Linked DNA regions of Styela clava. The protein of the gene in region 3 binds, or shares a complex with, the protein of the main gene of each other region. Links are inferred from orthologs where the notes say so. Each region holds a gene or a part of one and is shown on either strand. Other genes may lie near its edges. The genes, in order: peroxisomal targeting signal 1 receptor-like, peroxisomal biogenesis factor 19-like and peroxisomal membrane protein PEX14-like.

Region 1 (7,191 bases), about 3.9 Mb from region 3:
GATATTTTATTGTCTTTCGAGAATGATTCGACCATTTCATCTGCCGCTTTCTGTAATTCTGTCTTTTCTTGAACTTCACTGCCAAATTCCTTTGACCTGGAAAAACATCATCAGTTGAAAGATATTAGACTATGATAAAAGTCATATATACCAACTAAAAATCACTTTAGGATTCAGTTTGGAATGAAAAAAGAATTTCGAACGGAACAAACATTATCTGGTAATATTATACATACCAGTACCTAAAAGTTCATGCATGGACATAAAACAGTGGTTCTCAATCGGGGGCCCGTGGCCTACCATGGGGCCGCAGAGCAGTTGGAGAGGGACCACCATGTCAGGGGCAAAATGATAAACAGGGGGATGGCTATCAGTGCTAAAAGCCTCCGTGAGGGACCACAAGGCATAATACATGTCAGATCTAAGTCAATCATAAGATAATATCTCACCAGTCTTCAGTACTTGTAACATCATCTATTTCTCGTATTCTGGCAGGTTCATAACCCATCATATTAGGTCCATTCAAATTATTATAAAAAGGTATTTCTTGATGTTGTTCTGAAAAGTTGATAAATGGACAAAAATTATGAGAAACATACCAATGAACAGGGAATAATGTGATAAGTTCAACATGTGTTCAGAATTTTCGACCAAATACAAATCACATGAAGTCAGCAATTGAACAAAGAATTTTGTTCAGCTTGTTAAGCCACTGAGTTATAAATATACACTCTATTCCTAATATCCTGGCACAGACTCTGGTAATATTTAAATTCTCTAAAGTTCTTAATGATATGACTTCATGTTTTTGAAATAACACATCATAAACAATGAAAAGCACAAGACATCTAACCCTACTAAAATATAAGGAAAATTGAAGCAAACAACAAGAAAATGTCTGATAAACAATAACATATAACTTAAATTTATATTCACCATGTCGCAAAAATTCTTCAGCCCACAGAGCTTCTTCACGTCCAGTTTCTCGAAATGGAGCAGGCCTAAAACTTTGAAAATCTTTTTCCCAATGTTGTGCAGTAACTGAGATTTGAATTTCTGTTGATTGAATAGCGTGCTATTATTTGATTTAAAAATACCATGAGCTAATTCAAGCTATATCTAGACAAATCATTAATCACAAAGTCATTTACAGCAAAAACTCTGCACAACATTACATATCCATCAATGCAATAATTTTCAAATCACAAGCAATACCCATTGACTCAATAAAATGTGAACAAGACCTGAGTATGTAGGTTTCAATAAAAAACACCAACGAGAATATCGGTTGGAAACCGAATACTTATCGATCGATAGTTAGGGGATCCCCCAAAACAGAAACTGCAGTTTCGATTCATCCGCTCGTGTAACTTGCGCACTGCGCATCGCACACACACACTCGGCGGGTCTCAAAATTCTCTCGCTTTACAAAAATCTAGATCACTTAATCAATAATTGATTGATAACTCGCTAATTATACGACATAATTCGCCCAAAATCAATTAGAATCTGGTCCGAGATAAGATGAATGCACATGCAAAATCTGGAGCAGATTCAATCTCGCTTTCGTGAGATATCGCGTGCATCTAACAGACACACAGACAGACATACATACATACAGACAAATACCTATCAATATACTTACCGATCTTAAGATCGATAAGTAATAATTGCTCAACCAAAGCTTGGCACATAGTATGTATGTATGTATGTTTATTTGTCTCAAAAATATAACAGTATATGCATAATAATTAAACGGTATAACAAAGACGGGATACATGTTCAAGACCTTACTGGCCAAAAACACAGATGTGCGACATGAACCCCAACAAGTATAACTGCAGTTTAGGACTGCTGCGTTATAGTAGGACAACAGACATGGAATATACAATTAAAACTCTTGTACAATACACAGGACAAAGAGGTACGGCACATCGACGATATGTACAATAAATAGATGAGTAAACTTCACACAATAGTATAAGGCAGAGTAAAATGTTTTACGTTGTGGTGGTCTGGAATCCAGTAAACGTGCTTCATGTAACAGTCGTCCCATATCGAATGTCTGTGGATGTTTGACCACCATTTGATGATCTTGAAGAAACTCATTTGCATATTGTTCCGCGAGAGGTTGATGAGCTCCATGGCCTGAAAAAACACATCAAATATTACAATGTTAGAAAAATTTTTGATATTATTGAACTAGACAATCTTCAAACGATTATTAGGGTGAAGATATAAAGAACTATCATCAGCTGTTTAAACACTTCATGACCTAATGGTAAAACTGTTGAACCATTGTTGACATAACAAGTTGACGAAATCTGCCTCAATTTTCAACATCTCATTCATATATAAAATGTATGAAAATTGGGTAGAGGATCCGGGATGACCATCATTCTCAGCATAGAACAGCATGGTCACTGTTGCATGATGTATCAAGAATGCTTGTCTAGAGCATTGTTATGGGAGTTGTTATGTATGAAAATACATATTCACTCATATCAGCGTATAAAGTCACACCCTGTATTATTGATTGTATCATCAATATATCACCAAATGATGTTGTCAGGTTGTTGTGTATCAGTTTTCTACATACTTATAAACGATTGATTGTTGAACCATATATTAATGTTAGTAGATGTTATCGCTACTGGTGATAAAAGGGATTTCAGACTTTTGGTATGGTAATTATAATACAGTATCTGAATGCAGGAATGTGATCACCCAACGGTGCATAAATCTAACCTGCACTCTACAGAATGATTGACCAATTGCAGAATTGACAGACGGATGAATAAACCAAGGACCCTTACCATTTACTCTGTTAGTCAGTCCTCGATGCTGAAACGATAAATCCTGGTTAACGTGCTGAGTTATTTTCATCAAAGGATTAGCCCCTCCACATTCACCTGCCACCAGTTCCTTAATCGCAGACATTTTACTTCGGAAAAGCCTTCCGCAGCGAGCCAACTCAGAAACTCGAACTGCGATGAATGACCACTGTGAAGCTAGTAGCAAACCTTCTTCGAATTGTGCGCAGCGGTGCGTTAAGTCTCGTTTTTGTGCTCATTGAAGAGTGATATTACAGCTTTGTGCTTTTTGAAGGGTGATGGAGTAAAACGTAGGCGATTTCTAAATTCCACACGGCAGAATTGCTCTCGATTATGGAATTGCTCTCGATTATAGATATGGAAGAAACATCAAGACCAACCATCCGAGACCAACAATCGCCGTGAAAACGCACAATTGACGATTTTCACAGCGCTAATGTTGTTATTAAAATAGCCGATTATTTTCGGTAGCGTGACGTGTTATTTAGCCGTAATGACAAATAGCGGAAGACAAATGTCTTGTTTCATGAAGAAAGATTAAAATTACATATTGTTTATTTATTTTTTGTCAATTGTGCGAGCGAGGCACTTTTTATTCATTGTAAAAATACCGGCGGGAAACTAGCGTAACTTTTTATATAAAATAATTAATGTGTAAAGTATCTTCCATCAACTTTTTGAACTAAATTTAACTCAATGAAATTTTATTGCTGTCGCAGGGATTTGTCTAACGGTTGTCTTAAAAGCATTACAACCGAAAGAAATGCGATAGAGCCGTGTCAATATTACAAGAACAGCTCAGATTTATCAAATTTGCGAAAATACAAATTACATACAACACGATATTATCAGGCACTTTACCACACATTTTTATGTCCGCGGATTACCGTGTTAATTTGAGAAATAACGCTTTCATTTTGTTGACGCAATTTATCTCACATTATTATGTCCACAGTAGTATATTACAGTAGACTCTATCGACGCAACAACGAGTTACACTGAACACAATTAAATTAATATAGAAGGACTTTTCAAATTCCTGTAGTTGTCGCGGATTAAATATTTCACGCCACATAAGAGTCATTGTACGCTGAATACGTCAGCCGTTTTAACGAACACACAATCTCGGCGAACGTTTTAGAAGCCGTTGCATGGGAATTTCCGATTTTGAACAATCGGTGATTTTAATAACAATATTAGTGCTGTGAAAAACGCAGTCGATGTTATGAAAATTTCATAAGAAATTATTCTGCGCTTTTAATAGAGCGTCTCGCATAGATTCGAGATCAGACATGGGATAAATTGTGTCCAAATATGTTCTTAATAGAAAGTCCTTCCGCTCAAGTGGCACCCAATTTTATAATTTCTTATCAAAGTGGAATATATGAAGTTTATCACACATATTGAACCTAAAACTACTCGAACTTAGAAAAGGGAGTACTTCCCTGTTGAAGATACCTCAATTCATCAAAATTACGTAAAGCGAAAAAGGGTTAAATTTTGCAATTTTCAAATATTAATAGAAAGTCTTTCCGCTCAAGAGGCACGCGATTTTATAAATTCATATCGAAGCAGAATATATGAAGTTTATCACACACATTGAACCTAAAACTACTCGAACCCAGAAAAAGGAGTACTCCCCTGTTGAAGATACCACTTTTCATCAAAATTACGTAAAGCGAAAAAGGGTTAAATTTTGCAATTTTCAAATATTAATAGAAATATCTTCCGCTCAAGAGGCACGCGATTTTATAATTTCATATCAAAGTACAGTATATGACGTTTATCACACACATTGAACCTAAAACTACTCGAACATAGAAAAGGGTGTACTCCCCTGTTGAAGATACCCCTTTTCACCAAAAATACGTAAAGCGAAAACGGGTTAAATTTTGCAATTTTCAAATATTAATAGAATTATCTTCCGCTCAAGAGGCACGCGATTTTATAATTTCATATCAAAGTAAAATATATAAGGTTTATCACACACATTGAACTTAAAACTACTCCAACTTAGAAAAGGAAGAACTTCCTTGTTGAAGATACCCCTATTCATCAAAATTACGTGAAACATAAAAATAGGTAAATTTTGCAATTTTCAATTATTAATAGAAATATGTTCCGCTCAAGAGGCACGCGATTTTATAATTTCATATTAAAGTGGAATATATAGGGTTTATCACACACATTGAACCTAAAACTACTCGAACTTAGAAAAGGGAGTACTCCCTTGTTGAAGATACCCCTTTTCATCAAAATTACGTAAAGCGAAAAAGTGTTTGATTTTGCAATTTTCAAATATTAATAGAAATATCTTCCGCTCAAGAGGCACGCGATTTTATAATTTCATTTCAAAGTAGAATATATGAAGTTTATCACCCACATTGAATCTAAAACTACTCAAACTTAGAAAAGGGAGTACTTCCCTGTTGAAGATACCCCTTTTCATAAAAATTACGTAAAGCGAAAAAGGGTTAAATTTTGCAATTTTCAAATATTAATAGAAAGTCCTTCCACTCGCGATTTTATAATTCCCCCCTCCTTTCAAATTCATGGAAAACTGAAAAAGTCACAAATAGCGCGTGCGATTGCTTTTCGCTAAAATTCCTGATTGTTTTTATCAGCGTGACGTGTTATTTAGGCCGTAAACACTTTTAGTTGGTGTTTATTCTCCCTGAATCACAACAATTATTTCACGACAACGATAATAATTACTTTATTTTTGCCCAGAATTGAAATTCGCTGAGAGTTATTATACAATCAATCGAAACTAAATACAATTAGCCATTAGGCATGTTTATCTCATATTTTTACATCAAAAGATTGAGTGGTATTTCAGACTAATAATGTTTATATTTTGACGCAAGAAGACGTAACCGCGAGTTACGTTGGACACAAGATTATATCAATATAGAAGAAAGTTTTAGATTCTCGTAGCTATCATGAAATGAATATTTTACTGGAGAGAATGTTGGTATACGCTGAAAAACTCGGCCTTTTCAATGAGAGCGTAATCGCGGCGACTGTTTCATAAGGGAATGGAAATTTTCGGTTTTGAAACACACCCTTTTTAAAATCCTGACTGCGCCCCTGGCTGATTTTCATCATTCCACCGTGAGCTACATGTAACCCTAACAAAAACGATGAAATAAAGGCGCTCCGTAGTATGTGCACCAAGATGGCGGACACCGGAACGTAGAATGTGTACCAGGTTTGGGTTAGGGCATAATTTTATTCCAGTTATATTTAGAGATGTACCGATACCGATTAATGTTTGGTGTTTGCTTTAACTGATTAAGATACACTGTACAATGTACAGTAACGCTAGTAATCTCGGTGTTCAATTAGAAAACTCATAAGCCGGGTCGTCCAATTTGAATTTAATGTCAATATCGCGAGCTTCGAATATTGTTGTTCGTGTTTAAAAGAATATCGAATATCACCCACACATTCTAGCGCCGCCGTCCTACGTTCAAATTAAAAGCATTTTACAAATATTTTCCTTCGTGGCTAATCGTAATCGTCGACGCAATAAGTCAAAGCCAACATGAAAGAATATCGATCAGCACCGACAAAAAGAAGGCCTACCTATAACCGTCGAGGATGTTTTTTTACTTTACTATTTTATAATATTCTACAATTGCTATCATATATTTTGAGACATTCTAGAGGGATAGGCGGTCACGTCAATATATCTATAAAGTAATTGTGTAGTTAAACAAAATTAAATTAATACCTAATAATTGTGTCGGAATTTAGTTTATCGATGTCGATGGACTAAATGACACGCGTACTTGACGACAAACAATCAGAATTTATACCCGTGCCAAAAGTATATGTGCCGTTAATAGGATTTACGAATCGATTCGAATCGCATCTTTTCCGAATCGATTCGAATCAGATTTACGCGATTCGGAAAAAGAGAGCGATTAACCGAAAAAAACAAAACATTGACCGTTTTTTAATAAATCGTTGTTTTCGGCGGCTTTAAATCTGCCGAATGCGTGCATGCGCACTCCAAATAACACCAAATTACGGGACCAAAAGAAATACATTCAACATTTGTTAATCGTTGTTTTCGGCGGCGTTAAAACTGCCGAATGCGTTTATGCGGCACTCCAAATAACATCAAATTACGGGACGGAAATGAATGAAAATGAATTTTTCGTGATTGACTCATTTGTTTCAAATTCGGCACAACACACTCTTCTACGCATCACTCGAGATGATGTGTGGCGTAATTTCCACCAAACTGCAAGTTCAGTTTTCCACTAAATAGCCTAAGTTTCTATTATGCGCGAATTTAAATAGATCGTATACTTAAAAATTCGTGATAATTTTGATGAAAATTTTCAAC
Region 2 (8,005 bases), on a different chromosome or scaffold from region 3:
TCACAGTGAGGCAAAAAATCGAAGTCACCTCTAAAAACTTTTTTCCAAATTTAATAAGAAATAAACCTGTAAAACCTTTCAGAACTGTGGAGATCGGCATCATTTCTAGCATTATAGTGGTATTCAAACTGAATAAAACCATCATCCCGCTAACTTTTTTTACTGAGTCATCAGAATGGGAGTCTTCTTTTTTCCCAAACAACTTTTTAGTCCCATGATCTTTTTAGGTGGGTGTCGACACCGTCAAACAAGGCTTCAATCCCATTTCAACTCAAACCAGCGATACAAATTTGAAAAATAAATCTGGCAACACACTTATAGTTGACAATCATCTTGTTTAAAAAATTATATCAGTGTTAATGAAATGAAATTTAAATGAAGCAAATTGAAACACATTAATAATTATCAATAAATAATCAATTGAAAATATTTAAAAATAATTAGAAAATTAATCACATAATTGCACAATTTTCAGGATTCATATCTGGCCCAAACATGTTCCCGCCACCTGGGAATCCCCCTCCTCCAGCCCCAAATATTCTGCTCATGTCCATGGGTGTCTCCCCACCACATTTTTCTAATAATTCCTGGGGAGGGTTGCCACATTCTTGCATTTTTTCTACCAAAGCCATAAGTTCGTTCAGCCTTTGCTTTTTCACTTCTTTGGTGTCATTTTCATTATCGGCCTCGAAATTTTTACAAATTTTAACGATAACAAGACTTTGCTGCTCATAGCGCTTGAAGTCTGTTTCAGGTACTTTATCCTTGTTAGACTCTAACCAGCCAGGGTATACCTCCGAAATTTGTTTCATTGTGGGATACAAAACGTCTTTAGACAATAAATTCTCCATCATGTTTTCCATCATAGAGATAAAATTATTCTCCATCCCTTCCATGTCCCCCATTTGACCCATCATGTCACTCAACCCTCCCCCCATCCCTAAATTTCTCATTTCTTGGAGCAGTTTTTCCTCTTCGGTAGCACCTGTCATATTCTTTAGTTCATCAGCGCTACTCCCAATTCCAGAAATTGTGTCTTCCATCACTTTGTTCAAATCTGCAGGGCTAGCTTGTCGTTGACCTGCGCTGCTTCCAGATGGCCCGGTATTGCTTGAAGAACTCATTGCAGAAGGCACGGCACCCCCTAAAAAATATAACAAAAGACAAAATAAACATTAGATTTGAACAGGGTAGTAAAAAAGGCCCTATGATGCCTAGAGCGCTGTACCTAACTACCAGTATGTTAGCATCGCAGATTGAAATCTTGGATTAAAACACCATTGTCGCCTCTTATTGGTGTATAAAGACAAATTTCCTTCATTAGACTCAATTTAAATATCTTGGCTATCTTGCCCAGAGAGCCAATTTCCTGAGGCATAATTGGGGGCCTCCCCCAGTGTGTTGTAGCATAATGTCCCCAAGTTGAACCTATGTATAATGGGATAGCAGCTTATTTATATAGAATCGATAGGTTCCAAACCCATATCAGTTTTTTGCCATATCTAGGAGAGGCAGCGAACAAAAGACACTGAAGCGGATAAAGCACACTGAACCAAACTATGTGCTAATGGTGTCATCAAATGGTGTTTATTGAACTAAATGTCAGGGCATCTTGAAATTGGAGAACTGATACTGATATATATCATTTGTTCATATCATACCTGACGCAGCATTTTCCATAGTACTTGGAAGATTCTTCAACTGTGACGCAAGTTCTGGGTCATCATTAACTAATTCTTTCATTGCGGATTCCCACTCTTGTTGAAGTCTTTGAGAAACTTCATTGTCAAAAAATTGATCAAATATTTCTGATGGAGGGGGCACGCTCACATTCTGAGAGGTTGAAGACGAGGGTGAACTGGCAGGAACATCTTTTGGAGGTTCTAAAGACTGAATATAAAAATATTGTTTTACAGACATTTCTACAGTTTTACTTTGAGGAAACTAATAAAGGTCCTTATTATAAAAGAAGCCGATTCAAAAGAAAAATCGCTACTCGTCGCATCTTTGGATCTTAAATTCAACCTCCATATCCATCAATACAACCAGAGGGTTTTATAAATTTCCAAACAGATAGTATTCTGGTTTTTTCAAAAGTCATTGTGCCTTTTGCATGTCACAGAATGCTTGTTTTAAAGCCTTTAGAGAAATAGCAGCTCAGTACCGGTTGGAGGTGCAGTTCTTACCACTTCATGGCAACTCCTGCCACGAACGAACTGCGGCAGCTCTTGCCATGGCTTTATAGCGCTATTCAGTATTAACGGTATATTCACAAATTAATGTACCAGATTTAATTGATCATGCGGAATTATATCTACTACTACCCCAACCCCAAATCCATCCAAACTGTATCCATAAGAAAAACATTCCAACTTACCCAATATTTGTCACCATAAGGAACTGCCCTGCCTTCACGGCCCACCTGCCGTGGTTACGGCAGCAAAATTTTACCTGCCATTGGTTTTCAATTTGCTGCCGCGGCAATGGCAGCCTGTCATTGGTTTGTGGCAGCTAGAAAGTTAGTCGCCATGGGTTTGGCCGTAGCGGCCATCATCAGCAGGTGGGCCGTAAAGACAGGGCTGTCCCTTATGGTGATAAATATTGGGTAAGTTGGAACGTTTTTCTTATGGATAGTTTTGATGGATTTGGGGTTAGGGTTAGGGTTTGAGTAGATATAATTTCGCATGATCAATTAAAATTGGGTATATCAATTTGTGAATATACCGTTATAACTGAATACTGAATAGCGCTATAAAACCATGGCAAGAGCTGCCGCGGTTCGTTTGTGGCAGGAGCTGCCATGGAGTGGTAAGAACTGCGCCTCGCATCATCCCTGGCCATGTTTGGAGTAAAAGGTGCCATACAAAAGAGGTGCAAAGAAAACTGTGCATAAAAAAATGGTTCTCCAAATTCATTCTATCAGCATTTTACCTTCGAAGAACCTGGTGAATTTTTTTTCTCTTCACTTCCTTCTACAGGTACTTTTACTTCTGTTGGCTTTTTATCAAAGTCAGACAAAGCATCGTTCAGCAAATCATCTAAATCCGCATCCATTATTATTTAATTATTTTTGACTAAAAAGACACAAAAAGAAAATTACAGGAAAATAATTTAGAACTGATTCAAACTCAGAAAGTACATTTTGTAACAATGATCGGATCGTTGGTAACACAGATTGGAAATGACAACAAAATTACATGGCCATGAGGAATTATAAAATGGGGTCTAGTCTCCAAGTGTGGTACACTGTCAGACTGTACACTATAGGAGACGCTATTTTTCAAAAGACAATAATGGCTTAGTTAAATTAACACAATTTGACCTCAAAATAACCTGGGAGTCAAAAAGCGAAAAATAGCAGCACTGACACATTTATTTTCAGGCAAGAATATTCTGATCAGTCACGCCTTGGTGGTTCCAAATCGTGTCAAAGTCTGAATGAAGCTGACCAAACCTGACATAAGTATCGCAGAACATACGGAAAATACACTCATATTTAAACATTTTGGATTCAGACAACAATTAATGATCTCAGGAGGATATAATTTCAAGTAGCAAAAAGGCTTTTATCCTGACTTTCAATTTCCTAAAAGGTTGAAATGTAATTAGGTTTTTCAAAAATGATTACTGTTTTTGAGAGCTCATTCTCTGCCTTATAAACTGGTCAGATTCTAAAAACCTTTCAGCACAGTTTGTGAGACATGTTTCTTGTCTTCCAAGGCTGTTTCCAACTCTATCAACACATATATTCCAACAGTCTGATGTCAGTTTATTGACGATGACCTTCAATTGGTTTTGCGCTTCCATTTTCTGTTGTTCTTCTATCAGCATTCTTGCAAGATCTGGATTATTTTTCAGCTGTTCCGTGACATCCTGCAAAGCGTTTGCATCAAAATCCATTTTAAACGTTTTTTCTTCACTTTAAACACGTAGAAGTAATCAATATTTTGAAATAATGCAGCAATAACGACAAAATATAACAGATTGCAGGTGAGTAAATCGCGTAGCGAGTAATGTTTTGCAATGAGGTGAAATATCCGATCGAGCGTTGGTATTGTGCAGGAGTGGCTCCGGATGAAATCCGGAACCTGCATGAAAATGTCTCCATAATATATATTTATACTCGCAATTAATTCTGTTGAGCCTGAGATTTGCAAAGTTATGCATTTTTTTTTAAATTGTAGGGTACCAAATAAATTCATGTCTGGTTTGAAATCTATAGATTTTGAAGATTGCACACTTCGGGGGCACATTCTAGGGGTACATGTCGCACAACTGTATCTTAGACCAGTAAGGTCTTGAACATGTATCTATCCCGTCTCTGTTTTACTGTTTAATTATTATGCAGACACTGTTACATTTTTGAGGCAAATAAACATACATACATACATTTTTCTGTTTCCTTATTATAACGACCACGACTAAAATTGAATTTGCATATATATATATATATCCAGGGTGGGAGGAAAGGAATGAGACGACTTAACGGCTTAATCATGTGACGAACCACGGCCACTCGTCCGGTTACAATTCCATGTCGGGTATGGGATTAGTTAGTCAGTTATTTGTTTCGGATGCATGGACTTGGTGGTCGAGGAAGGCGTAACCAACCAGTGGTTCGGTGAAAACCACCCTTATGTGAACAACCTACGGCAGCGAGAAGCCCAGCAATCCTTTATCCCCACACAGGGTAATCAGAAGTGCGGTTGAATTCCGAGCGCTTAGCCACACCGTCTATTTACCTATACCTACTTCAACTATATTTGGGAGCCCAAATGTGACAGTGCAATTCTGAAACGATATGCGCTTGTATGTCTTGCAGAAAGTGCTACTTGCAAGCACAATATTTACGAGACGAAGTTCATTTTACATACATTTATGCTGGAAATAATTTTTCATTGATCTAAATGCTTTTTCTTGTTCCAATCTTTCAGGTGACGGAAAATGACAAGGAGGTAAACCAATACTAATAATGGGTTGAAATACCCCTTCTTATCATATCAGTCCCTCTTAAGGGTGAGAGGTAAATTACCATCACACCTCTGACTACAAGAGTTCATGGATTCAAATCCTGATCCACAGTGCTGCCTATTACTTCACCTTTGTAGATTTGTTCACAAACTGCAACCATCGAGTCAATGCATGTGAAAAAGGTAATGGTGAACTACAGCAGTGCAAGATATGGTTGGGACTGTTAACCATATGGGAAGCTGATGTTTGAAAGATTTTATACCTCTTTTGAAGATAAATATAAAAATTCCCTTTTATCTACCTTATTTGTTTCGGCATCCCCATTAAAAAGCCCAAAATCAACAGACCATGAAGCATATTAGCATAGCATTTTTAATTTAATTTTCACCTGCTATTAATAATTGCACATGCATATTTTTGTATTATCAGAATATGAAATAGAATTGATTTGTTCTTTCACTGCACAAAAGCAATTGCATTAACATAATTAAAACCATAGAAATATATACTCAGTAACAATATTTATTAATAATCGACTATATATGATACACTGTGGGTATAATTAATAGAATAAATGTAATGAGGCAAATTGGTGATAGCTGTATTATATTTAGTGCAATTTATGCAGAAATGGGATAGTTTGAAATGAAAAAAGGAATATGCTACAACTAAGTTTGTCTTTATTAAAAAATCTCGTAGATTTGCTCATTTCCACACGGGAGAAGACAGTATTTGAATATGCATAGTGAATATTGGGTGAAATTTCAGTCCATTATGAAAATGCAGTTACAGGTTTTCATATATTTTTTACACTTACAGAAATCATTGATATAACGAAAAAGAATTTTCGTAACAGGGTTTGATTTGTCAGCCTTATATTGGCGATGCCGACAAAGGTTGCGAGTGTTAATAAAATGGTTGACATATATCAAGAAATGACTTCATAACGAAATGGAAATTGTGACAAGACTTTATGGACACCAACCCTGGCTCACAGAAATCACAATACATGCAAAAGTCTGATTCAAGTTATAATCACAAAGTCTTAAAAGGCACTTGATCAAAAGTAAAATATACATAGGCACTACTCAACAAATATCAAAGGGCTGTCAACCAATGTAGAGTAAAGAGTTTACTCTGGGGAAGAAATTATTATTCCTAAATATTGAAGTTTAGCTCGGACTTTATAAATTAATATATTAAACAGTTAAACCATATATGAAACAGCACAAGAGTTAATTTTATTAGTTAAAAAAAACAGTGAAATTCTAAATTTCATTTAACCACCACTTTGAAAAATCTTTTAATCATCTCAGATTCAAGCGGCTGCTATACAAAAAACAATTAAAGGCAAATACGCAAACAATAATTTTCACCATAAATTTCAAGCACCAAAATTGGGTATATTTGGAACTAACAGGTCCCCAGTTAAAATGATATACCCTGTTATAACATTACACCTTTCTAATTACAAGGCAATTTATATTCAATATAATCGGCATAATTTTCATTCAAATATGTTACCACAGCATTTTTTAGCTGCATCAAATCATTTTCACTATTATATATATTGATTGTGGGACGGATTCTAAATTGGTCGTTATAAACTGAAATTGTAACTTGGGTTTTGTGAAATTTGAAGATGTCTTTAGTCATCACGTCTGCTTCAGTGAGCCTAAAAAATAAAAATAATATTATTAGTTTAAATTTATTTAATAAAAAAATTTTCATGTTGAAGAACTGGGATGATTTAAATCAGTTGTTCTCAAACGATGGGCCACAATTTTTTGAGGGGACGTAAGTTAATTGGAAATATAAATAGGTTAGATTTGATCTTGCTCGCCTTATTTTGGATATTTAGATTCTTTTATTTTGGTTATTTGTGTTTCATCCATATTTTCAACGTGTTTTTGAATAAAACATACTATCGCCTTACTATCTGATATTTGAAGCTTATCGTTAGCTAGTATTTTTCAGGTGGGGCGCAAGACTTGACAAATTCTAAAAAAGGAGCGCGGCTTAAAAAGTTCGAGAACCACTGATTTAAATTGAGACCTTATTGATAGCAGAAAGATCAACTACCCCAGGTTTTAGCCCCGTGTAACCCATAGTGGGAGAAATAAGGTGAGCTTTGATATGATAAATGGAAAGATTCAGCTTCAGAAGGTTGCTTATCTAAATCCTTGTTTAGAGCAAAGAAGCAAATGTATTTATTGTCTAGTTTTCTAGGTTCAATTTGGACTCTATAATTCGAAGATAAAGATTGATGAGGGTTCCTCTAATTGATGCTTTTAAAACTATACCGAATGACAAAGCAGATTTGAATGGCATGACTTCATAACAGATGAATTTTAGACATTTTTTAGGCTTTTTCGTAAGATTCTTATTAGATGGTTGGTCCAACATCTATTAAAAACAGGTTATTCAGAGATGAGAAAAGAGAATAAAAGAAACCCTTTACAATTAAAAAACAATGATTCATGCATATTAAAGGTGAGGGCCAGGATTATTAATTACGAAAGTGAAAATTAATTTCACATTATGAAGTTCTAAAATCCATGCAGTATCCATTTTCCAGGAATAATATAAAATATGTTGTAGTATTCAACCTTTCAAATCACTGTTATAAAATAGGTACCTAATAGTCAAAAATTTTGAATTTCAGAATTTCACTATAGAGTTTATTTAAAAATGAGATTTTTTCAAAATAAATTTCAAGGTATTTTCGAAATGTTCTATCCTTAGTATGCAACAAAAAATGAAATTGCCATTTATCTTGATTTTTTTTGAGTTATGGCTCATTTTTGAACTTCAAAGAAGAATTTGTTATTAAAATAATGCTTGTTATTATTACTGCATTAAGATATATACGTTGAATAAGATACATGAGCAGGACACCATAATCAATAGACTATGAAGCCTAATTCATAAATTATTATGATACATGCAATGCAAGACAGTATACGAAATTACTTGAACATTTTGACAAATCATATCACAGACAGTGAGTGGGAAGGCGTCATGCTCATAGCAG
Region 3 (7,254 bases):
AATTGGCTTTGTTAATGGTTGTGCTGGGAACTGACTCCTGATTAAAAAGATTAATGCTGTGAACGTTTTTTAAATATTATTATATGGAACGTTTCTTCTAAAGTTTCTCTTTGGCTTCACATACAAAAATGTAACCGCCGTGATACATTGCTACAATCTTTCCCCAAATTTATTTTAAATTGCTAAACTGCGTTTCCATCATGCTGTAACTTGTTCAATTATACAACTTGTTTAGGTCTTTTGACAATGCATTACTGAGAAAAATCATTTTTGATTTTTTTTAATTTTCAAACTTTTCACCAACATAGGAACTATGAGCACTCCGAGTCACAAAAAATTGACATTTACCTGCTCAAAAGTAATCCTTTGATCGACGTTATTTCTGCTTTTAATTCTCCGATTGCTGAATTAGATACAGTTCCATATCCCGATTCAGCCTGCTAGATAATTTAAATATGCCTAAGTAAATTGAAGTGTCAAATAAAATCCACTCTTGTACATATCTGTTACAATACCATGTCATATTCTTTAAAGAAAAAAATTTATCTCCAAATTCCATAGTTTCATTCTATAGTTTTTACTACTTCAAGTGTATACAAATAAGAAATATACTAGTTAGTACTAACTCTGAAAGATGTTAAATTTGCAGCCACTTGACCAAGTTTTGCATTTTGAGTTCCAAGATGATCTTGCATTTCATTCATAGAACTTCGGATTTCCTAAATAAAAAATTTTTCTTATTCCACAAATCAGCAAAAAGCACAATTTCTATGAATTATCACAATGGTTTTTTGAAGTTTCAAATACACAGAAAGGTAAAGGCATTTAAATGTTAACAGATGAAGTAGATTTTTGTTCGTGTCGGGGTTAGAAAATGATGCACTGATTGTATACAATATGATTTTAGGATGTAAAACCACAATAAAATGATAGAAATGATTTCAAACAACAAATAATTAAAACCACAACAACGTTTATCCATCGGATTAATGTTAGGAGGAATTTACTTTATTTACAGTACTCCATGACAAACGAGGTCTGAAACAAATGGATTTTCTCTACAGCTTTCCCTCAGTCGATATTTTTGTTTCGTTTCGAGAAACACTGAAGTATCATTTAAACCAAGGGAATTTTTGAAGGGTACGATAATAATACATCCAAGAACCCAGGCGCAGATGTTGAGAGTTTGAAAATAAAGTATTTTACAAATAAAGAGTTTTATATAAAATATTTTAGAATGGAAGTATTTAACAAAAAGTTTATATACGGTAAACCTACCATTGCACATCACCCATGAATGCATTTATGGTATACCTGCATATTTTGTGTTAATTCCTCCTGAACATTTTTCAAACCTTCTTCCATCTTTTCAAGTTTTTCTTCTTGTAATTTAGCAGATTTCAGGAAAATTGGTTCAATAAATCGCTGAAATAGAAAGAGAAAAGATTAAAGTTAGTAAATAGTTAAATTGAATATGAAATGACATGGATATAACTTCGAAAATGTTGATTGATGGGAAAGATAATTAATTCTTCTCTTGACTATAAACTTTGTCAATGACAATTTATCAGTACATAGATACAAATAGAACTTGGAAAACTGGTAATTCTGCTGTATTTCAGCTATCGAGTCAACATAAAAATCTGTTACAAATCTCAATAACACCAGAAAATCACTGAGTTATAATTACGATAAGAATCATGTGATACAATCAGTAAATCAAACAACAATACAGTAGAAGTGAAAATTATACGAAAAATTCACAACCTTATACAAATAGTATAGTCCATAAACAACACCTCCAACTATGACTGCGATAGCAGAATATTGCCGAATTCGGGTCCAAGCAGAAACTGAAAGAAAAACAATATATAAAGTATTGATCTCAAAATCAAAAAGTATTTATAATTCAATAATTAGGAAGGAATTAAGATAAAATGATAAATCTAAAAAATTACTATCTACTACTATCAACAATCTAAAGGTAACAAAAACTAATATGATGGATTAAAAATATTAAAAACTTCTGTTACCAATCTAGGTTGATTATGTCGCAAGGTATTTACATTTTACCTATGAGAACATGAAATTGCTGTCAATAAAATTAAAAAGAATGTGTGACGAATAATGTTTTCTGTATCTTTAGGAACAGAATTGGACATGAATTTAGAATTCAGATAGGCCTATCTAAAATTATATTTGAAATAAAAAATATTCAAACATTGAGTGAATGTTATAATGTTTTCTGTGTCTAAAAATAATATGAACAAATAAATATTTCAAATAATTGGATTACAGCAACAAGTGTGTGACACCTTACTGGTATTTATGAATTTCTATATATAAATTGTAAACCTGGCGGCATAGCGATTTGTTCGGAATTTGACAACGGCACTGATACATGATGATCAGAGGAAGAATTTGATCTTGAGACTGCAATTTCTATTTCTTTATCCGTTAATCCTAAAAAGAATTTAAATATATTACTGTATTAGAAGACCCGAAGACAGCCACCATATCCTGATAACGTTGATCCTAAAAATAATTGCAATATAATAAAAGACATGAAGACAGCCACCATATCCTGACATCACAGTTATTTTGTTTTCAGATGCACAAACTTTTACGGTTGAGGAAGCCCCAACCTACAGATCTGACCAGCGATTATTCCAAAACATTGCCAACACCCATTGTGCTGTTGTGCAGAAAAATTAAGATGTAGCCTAGCCTAGTTATTATATTATTAAAATAAATTATTGATTTCTGCATCCCTTAGTTTTTAACTCACCTTTCTTTAAAAGAAACTGTTTCTTTTGCTCCAGCGGGCTTTGACTCACTTTGGTGCTCTGAAGAAATTTTACAGCTGTGGATATTAAAGATTCGCGTGGCGGTGCCGGTGGTAACTCTGGTATATTCTCCGGCAAAGAGCTCATTTCGGGCATTTTTCCAACATGGATAATCAGACTCACTACTAAACGCTGGACAGCACAGGCGCAAACTCTGGCAGTTGCGGCAAACTTCTGATACGAAACGAAATGAAAAATTTATGATGGCGTTTTTGTTTTGATCAAATATTGTTCGACCTTTGACCTTCAAAAGTGCATGAATAAATCAAATACTGTACTGTACTTCTTTACTTTGTTGATAATAAAATATTAATAAAATATAATAATAAAATATTAATAATATATTAATAAAAACAAAATATGTTAGACTAGGCTAAAAGTATATGCCCATACTTCTTATTTGTCCACCTAGTTCGGTACCGCTACGTAACATCACCAGGCAGGTTAAAAACGACCTGCAAAAACAACAACAGGTACCATTATGACGCAACAATACAAAGTAAGCACACGTGTGGGGACCACAAAATATGGGCTAGAGATGTACCCATGTATCGGTATTGGCAATATCGGCTATTTTTCCGGTATCAGTCAAATATCGATATTTCCGATATATTCACCTTTTTGATATGATCCAGAATGTTTTAAAAGATATGTTAAAATATTACTTTTTAATTTATTTTTCGCCCGGAGAGATCGTGAACTATGAGCCATGCATGTCTCGACTCCCGCGAGTGGTAACGGTAATAGAATTCACCTGTTTTTAAATATTTACTAGCAGAAATAGCTCATCTAATCATCTATGCGCGGCGGTGTGTCTCAACGGGCTAAGCGTTAGGAATACGCTCGCCACCGCACCTCTAATTACTCTCGAATCCCATGCAGGGATGGTTATGTGCGAGAGGATTGCTGGACTCCTCGCCGTCGTTGGGTGGTTCACGTAACCGCTGGTCGGTTACGGCTTCCTCCACCACCAAGTCCATGCTTCCGAAAACAAACAATATACCTAATCTCATACCCGACCTGGAATGGTAACCGGACGAGAGGCCGTGGTTCGCCATATGGATAAGCCGTCTTATCGGCTTTCCTCTCCCCGGGATAAATATGTAAATCCTAATTTGGCTATTTTCGCTGCCAAATTTTTATATTGACATTTTTAATGCATATTAATTATGGGGGGAATATATATATATCAATACGGCACAGAGAAGAGAGCAACTAAGCGCCCAGTTTTAAATCATACAGTGGAATCGAAGTCCTTTTTTACAGCACAGGGTCTTTTTGGCGCGGTAATAAATTCTGACTGTTTATCGTCAAGCGCGAGTGTCATTCAGTCCATCGACATCGTTAAGCTAAATTCCGACGCAATTATCTCTCTACACAGGTATCAAATATTGTGATTATATTAATTTTAATTTTGTTTGAATACACAATTTATTTATAGATTTATTGATGTGGCCGCCTAGTATTATATATACGTATTATAGGTACTTCTAGTCGGCGCTGATTGATATTCTTTCATTTTGGCTGTAATTTATTGCCGCGACAATCACAATTATACACGAAAAATGATATTCGAGGTTCGCGATATTAATATTAAATTAGAATTGGACATCCCGGCATATGAGTTTTCTAATTGAACACCGAGTTTACTAGCGTCAGTGTACAATGCATCCGAATCAATTAATGCATCTGGATACCAAACATCGATTTCTCATGTGATATATATATCTCTTTTTCAATCTGAAATAATGTGTACTATGAATAACGCTCAGAGACAATAGTTTTAACCCGTCTGCCCTACACAGCACACTTAATTAAGGTAATAATTACATAGTATCGGAATATCGGCCTTTTTGTAATATCGGCGTATCGGTATCGGCGATTTTAGTTGGTATCGGTATCGGCGACAAAAGTGGTATCGGTACATTTCTAGTACGGGCGCGGTAAATCCATTAACACTAAGTCCAGTTGAACTGTTACAATTTCAGTCAAAAAAGTTTGGTCACCAGGGACTAGTCATATTTTGTACTTTTTATGGTATTCAATTAGACTTAGTATATACTATAGTAGAGATGCACGAGCCTAGGACGTAGTATTTATAGAATATATATGAAATTTTCAGGAAATTTTTCATCTTTAAATGGCAGTAGTTTTACATAATCATAGCGTAGTTTTGTGAATAAAAGGTGCGGAGCCTTTTTAAACATGGCAAAAATTTTTAGAAGAGGCATATGTCTTATAATTTTATTTATCAAAAACAAAATTATAAAGTACAGAATTAGGAGATTTTTAAATATAAAAAATATGAAAACCGATATCCATTTACTTAAATAACACGTTTTCCTCTTTCACACGTTTTAGATTAATCATTTTAAAACGTATGGGAGAGATTTCTTGCTATCGACCAGGAAAAAACAAATTTGCGTTATTGACAAGGTCTTATTTTAAGGGGAAGGCTTATATTAAAATCATTCTTAAAATTCAGGCTAGGTCTTATTTTCGGGGGAACACGGTAGCGATACGACCCTTCAAGGTCACATATTTGCCCAGACGATGTTGCCATATTGTTACGTTTATCGCATTTTTGAAACTTGGCTTTACTAAAGTAAATATCAAGCCGAAATGTGTTGTTTGCGAGAAATTTTTAGGTTGATTAAACGCAGAGCTTGAAGCAGGGATGTCCAATTCGTTTTCGATTGAAAATATTTTACAATTAATATCGTATATTTTAATTTAGTCGAAATAGTTTGTGCGGTCTCGGCAATTGCGTAAATCTAAAAGCAAATTGGGTCGTAATTAATCGTTCTTTAAATCAGCGCCGACTCGAAAAATAAAACACTATTTCCGGTCTTAATTCACCATCATTAGCAGATTGGCTGAAATTTGGGGATCGGGTCCACTCATTTGATTATGGCGATGAACGCGTAATTTGCGTTTTTTGAATCGACGAATCGTTTCGTGAGCAAAATTTAAGCCCGTGGTAGCTGCCCTGCCAGACGCCCAGCAACTACCTGTCATCTCGTTGTCTCGCTTGTTTCCCGCGCTTACGTACTATGTGTCTCAATCAGTTTCAGTTGCTAGCGAAATTCAGTAAGAAGAAACAAAACAATGAAAAACAGAAAAGCAAAATAAAAATTCTACTATTAAATTCAAATTTTGAATTTCATGTGTATGATCACTCACCTAAAATTATTGAATCAATTCATACACGCTCACACACAACCACAGGACTATAATAAAGTTACAAAAAAGAGAGAAGCATTAGATAAATTATATGGTAAACAAAAGAAATAAATAAATACGAAAAAAAGAAATTATAATAAAAGATAGGAATTGTGATAAAAAATAAGAATTGTTTTTTACACCATTTTATTAATTTTATAAAAAATTCCAATCCAAGAGTGAACAGTATTTAATATAAAGACAAAACAAGATTACGCCAAGCTGAATATAAATGGAGTCAAATGCCAAATTGCCCAACCAAAGTTGAGTGCATGGAGAGGTGGACTAAACCGCTTCATTCACCAATGAAATGCCAAAATATTGCCAAATTGTAGTCCAGGGTACATCAGTTATTAAATGCTACCGGTAAAAAAATCTAAATTTGAATTATAGGTATCGTTAAACGTCAATTCCTTCCTATTTTTCGAACTGAACCGGATATTTGGACAGAGAATATGCGCATGAACTCTCGATGACAATATGGTCAATGAAGACAGCTGGGATATCTTTGAATGTAAGCGTATGCAGTAAAATCGGAAAAGGCAAAGTTACAAAAATATGGTAACCCTACTTATGGGGCCTATATTTTTTATTAATTATGATTGATAGAAAGTCATATACGATATTGTATAAACATTTGGATGCATCGTCAAAAAGGTATTACAGGAAAAATTCAAAGTGTCTGTAATCAGTTCTTGAGAATGACTTTTGATAGGGGCCGGAGAGATGGTGTTGCGGATTTGTTCAAAAGTGAAAAACTACTACGTGTTGAAGATTTACTAATACTAGAGATTTGCACATTGACGTGTTATCTTCTACTGGTCAACTCACTAGTTGCTTTGATCGTATATTCGCGAATAATAATACCCGAAATAGCAGAAGTCACGACAGATTTTTTGTTCCGTATGTTAGAACGTCAATAGCACAAGAATCGGTCACATTCGTTGGGCCTACAGTATGGAACCCATTTCCTAATAGTATTAAAAGCTCGAAAACGACGTCCGAATTTAGATCCAAGCTTAAGAGACATTTATTGGAATTCTATTAGATTCATTGAGTTGAGGACATCCTACTTTTCATACATTATTTTCCAGATACAAAGGGACCATAGAAGATGAGAGAAGAACTACAGAGATTTCACACAATAGCGCTTATGAAAGTGGCCCGCATTTTATGCCAGACTGCC

The links.
Region 1: the proteins of peroxisomal membrane protein PEX14-like (region 3) and peroxisomal targeting signal 1 receptor-like are in contact, whole or in part, in an NMR structure (PDB 4BXU), measured with the Homo sapiens proteins. The link is inferred for Styela clava from reciprocal best matches to the Homo sapiens genes PEX14 and PEX5. Residues at the interface, in NP_004556.1 of Homo sapiens: Thr31, Phe35, Asn38, Arg40, Val41, Ser44, Pro45, Thr48, Arg49, Phe52, Lys55, Lys56; in NP_001124497.1 of Homo sapiens: Glu59, Leu62, Val63, Glu65, Phe66, Leu67, Gln70.
Region 2: the proteins of peroxisomal membrane protein PEX14-like (region 3) and peroxisomal biogenesis factor 19-like are in contact, whole or in part, in an NMR structure (PDB 2W85), measured with the Homo sapiens proteins. The link is inferred for Styela clava from reciprocal best matches to the Homo sapiens genes PEX14 and PEX19. Residues at the interface, in NP_004556.1 of Homo sapiens: Leu28, Thr31, Ala32, Lys34, Phe35, Asn38, Ser39, Arg40, Val41, Ser44, Thr48, Phe52, Lys56, Leu58; in NP_002848.1 of Homo sapiens: Gln67, Phe70, Phe71, Leu74, Phe75, Ser77.

What each region holds. Positions count from the first base shown.
Region 1 is NC_135256.1:14,572,697-14,579,887, reverse strand, and holds the start of peroxisomal targeting signal 1 receptor-like, read right to left. Parts: upstream 3,001-7,191; 5' UTR 2,941-3,000; coding exon 2,817-2,940; intron 2,149-2,816; coding exon 2,005-2,148; intron 1,057-2,004; coding exon 937-1,056; intron 559-936; coding exon 450-558; intron 97-449; coding exon 1-96.
Region 2 is NC_135254.1:4,399,192-4,407,196, forward strand, and holds peroxisomal biogenesis factor 19-like, read right to left. Parts: upstream 3,073-8,005; 5' UTR 3,055-3,072; coding exon 2,932-3,054; intron 1,891-2,931; coding exon 1,662-1,890; intron 1,145-1,661; coding exon 453-1,144; 3' UTR 315-452; downstream 1-314. Other genes in the region: uncharacterized protein LOC120332725, read right to left, coding at 3,625-3,900; uncharacterized protein LOC120332696, read right to left, coding at 6,436-6,646. UniProt on the Homo sapiens protein: Necessary for early peroxisomal biogenesis. Acts both as a cytosolic chaperone and as an import receptor for peroxisomal membrane proteins (PMPs).
Region 3 is NC_135256.1:10,700,157-10,707,410, reverse strand, and holds the start of peroxisomal membrane protein PEX14-like, read right to left. Parts: upstream 3,109-7,254; 5' UTR 2,943-3,108; coding exon 2,789-2,942; intron 2,464-2,788; coding exon 2,356-2,463; intron 1,854-2,355; coding exon 1,768-1,853; intron 1,426-1,767; coding exon 1,315-1,425; intron 720-1,314; coding exon 627-719; intron 441-626; coding exon 349-440; intron 38-348; coding exon 1-37. UniProt on the Homo sapiens protein: Component of the PEX13-PEX14 docking complex, a translocon channel that specifically mediates the import of peroxisomal cargo proteins bound to PEX5 receptor.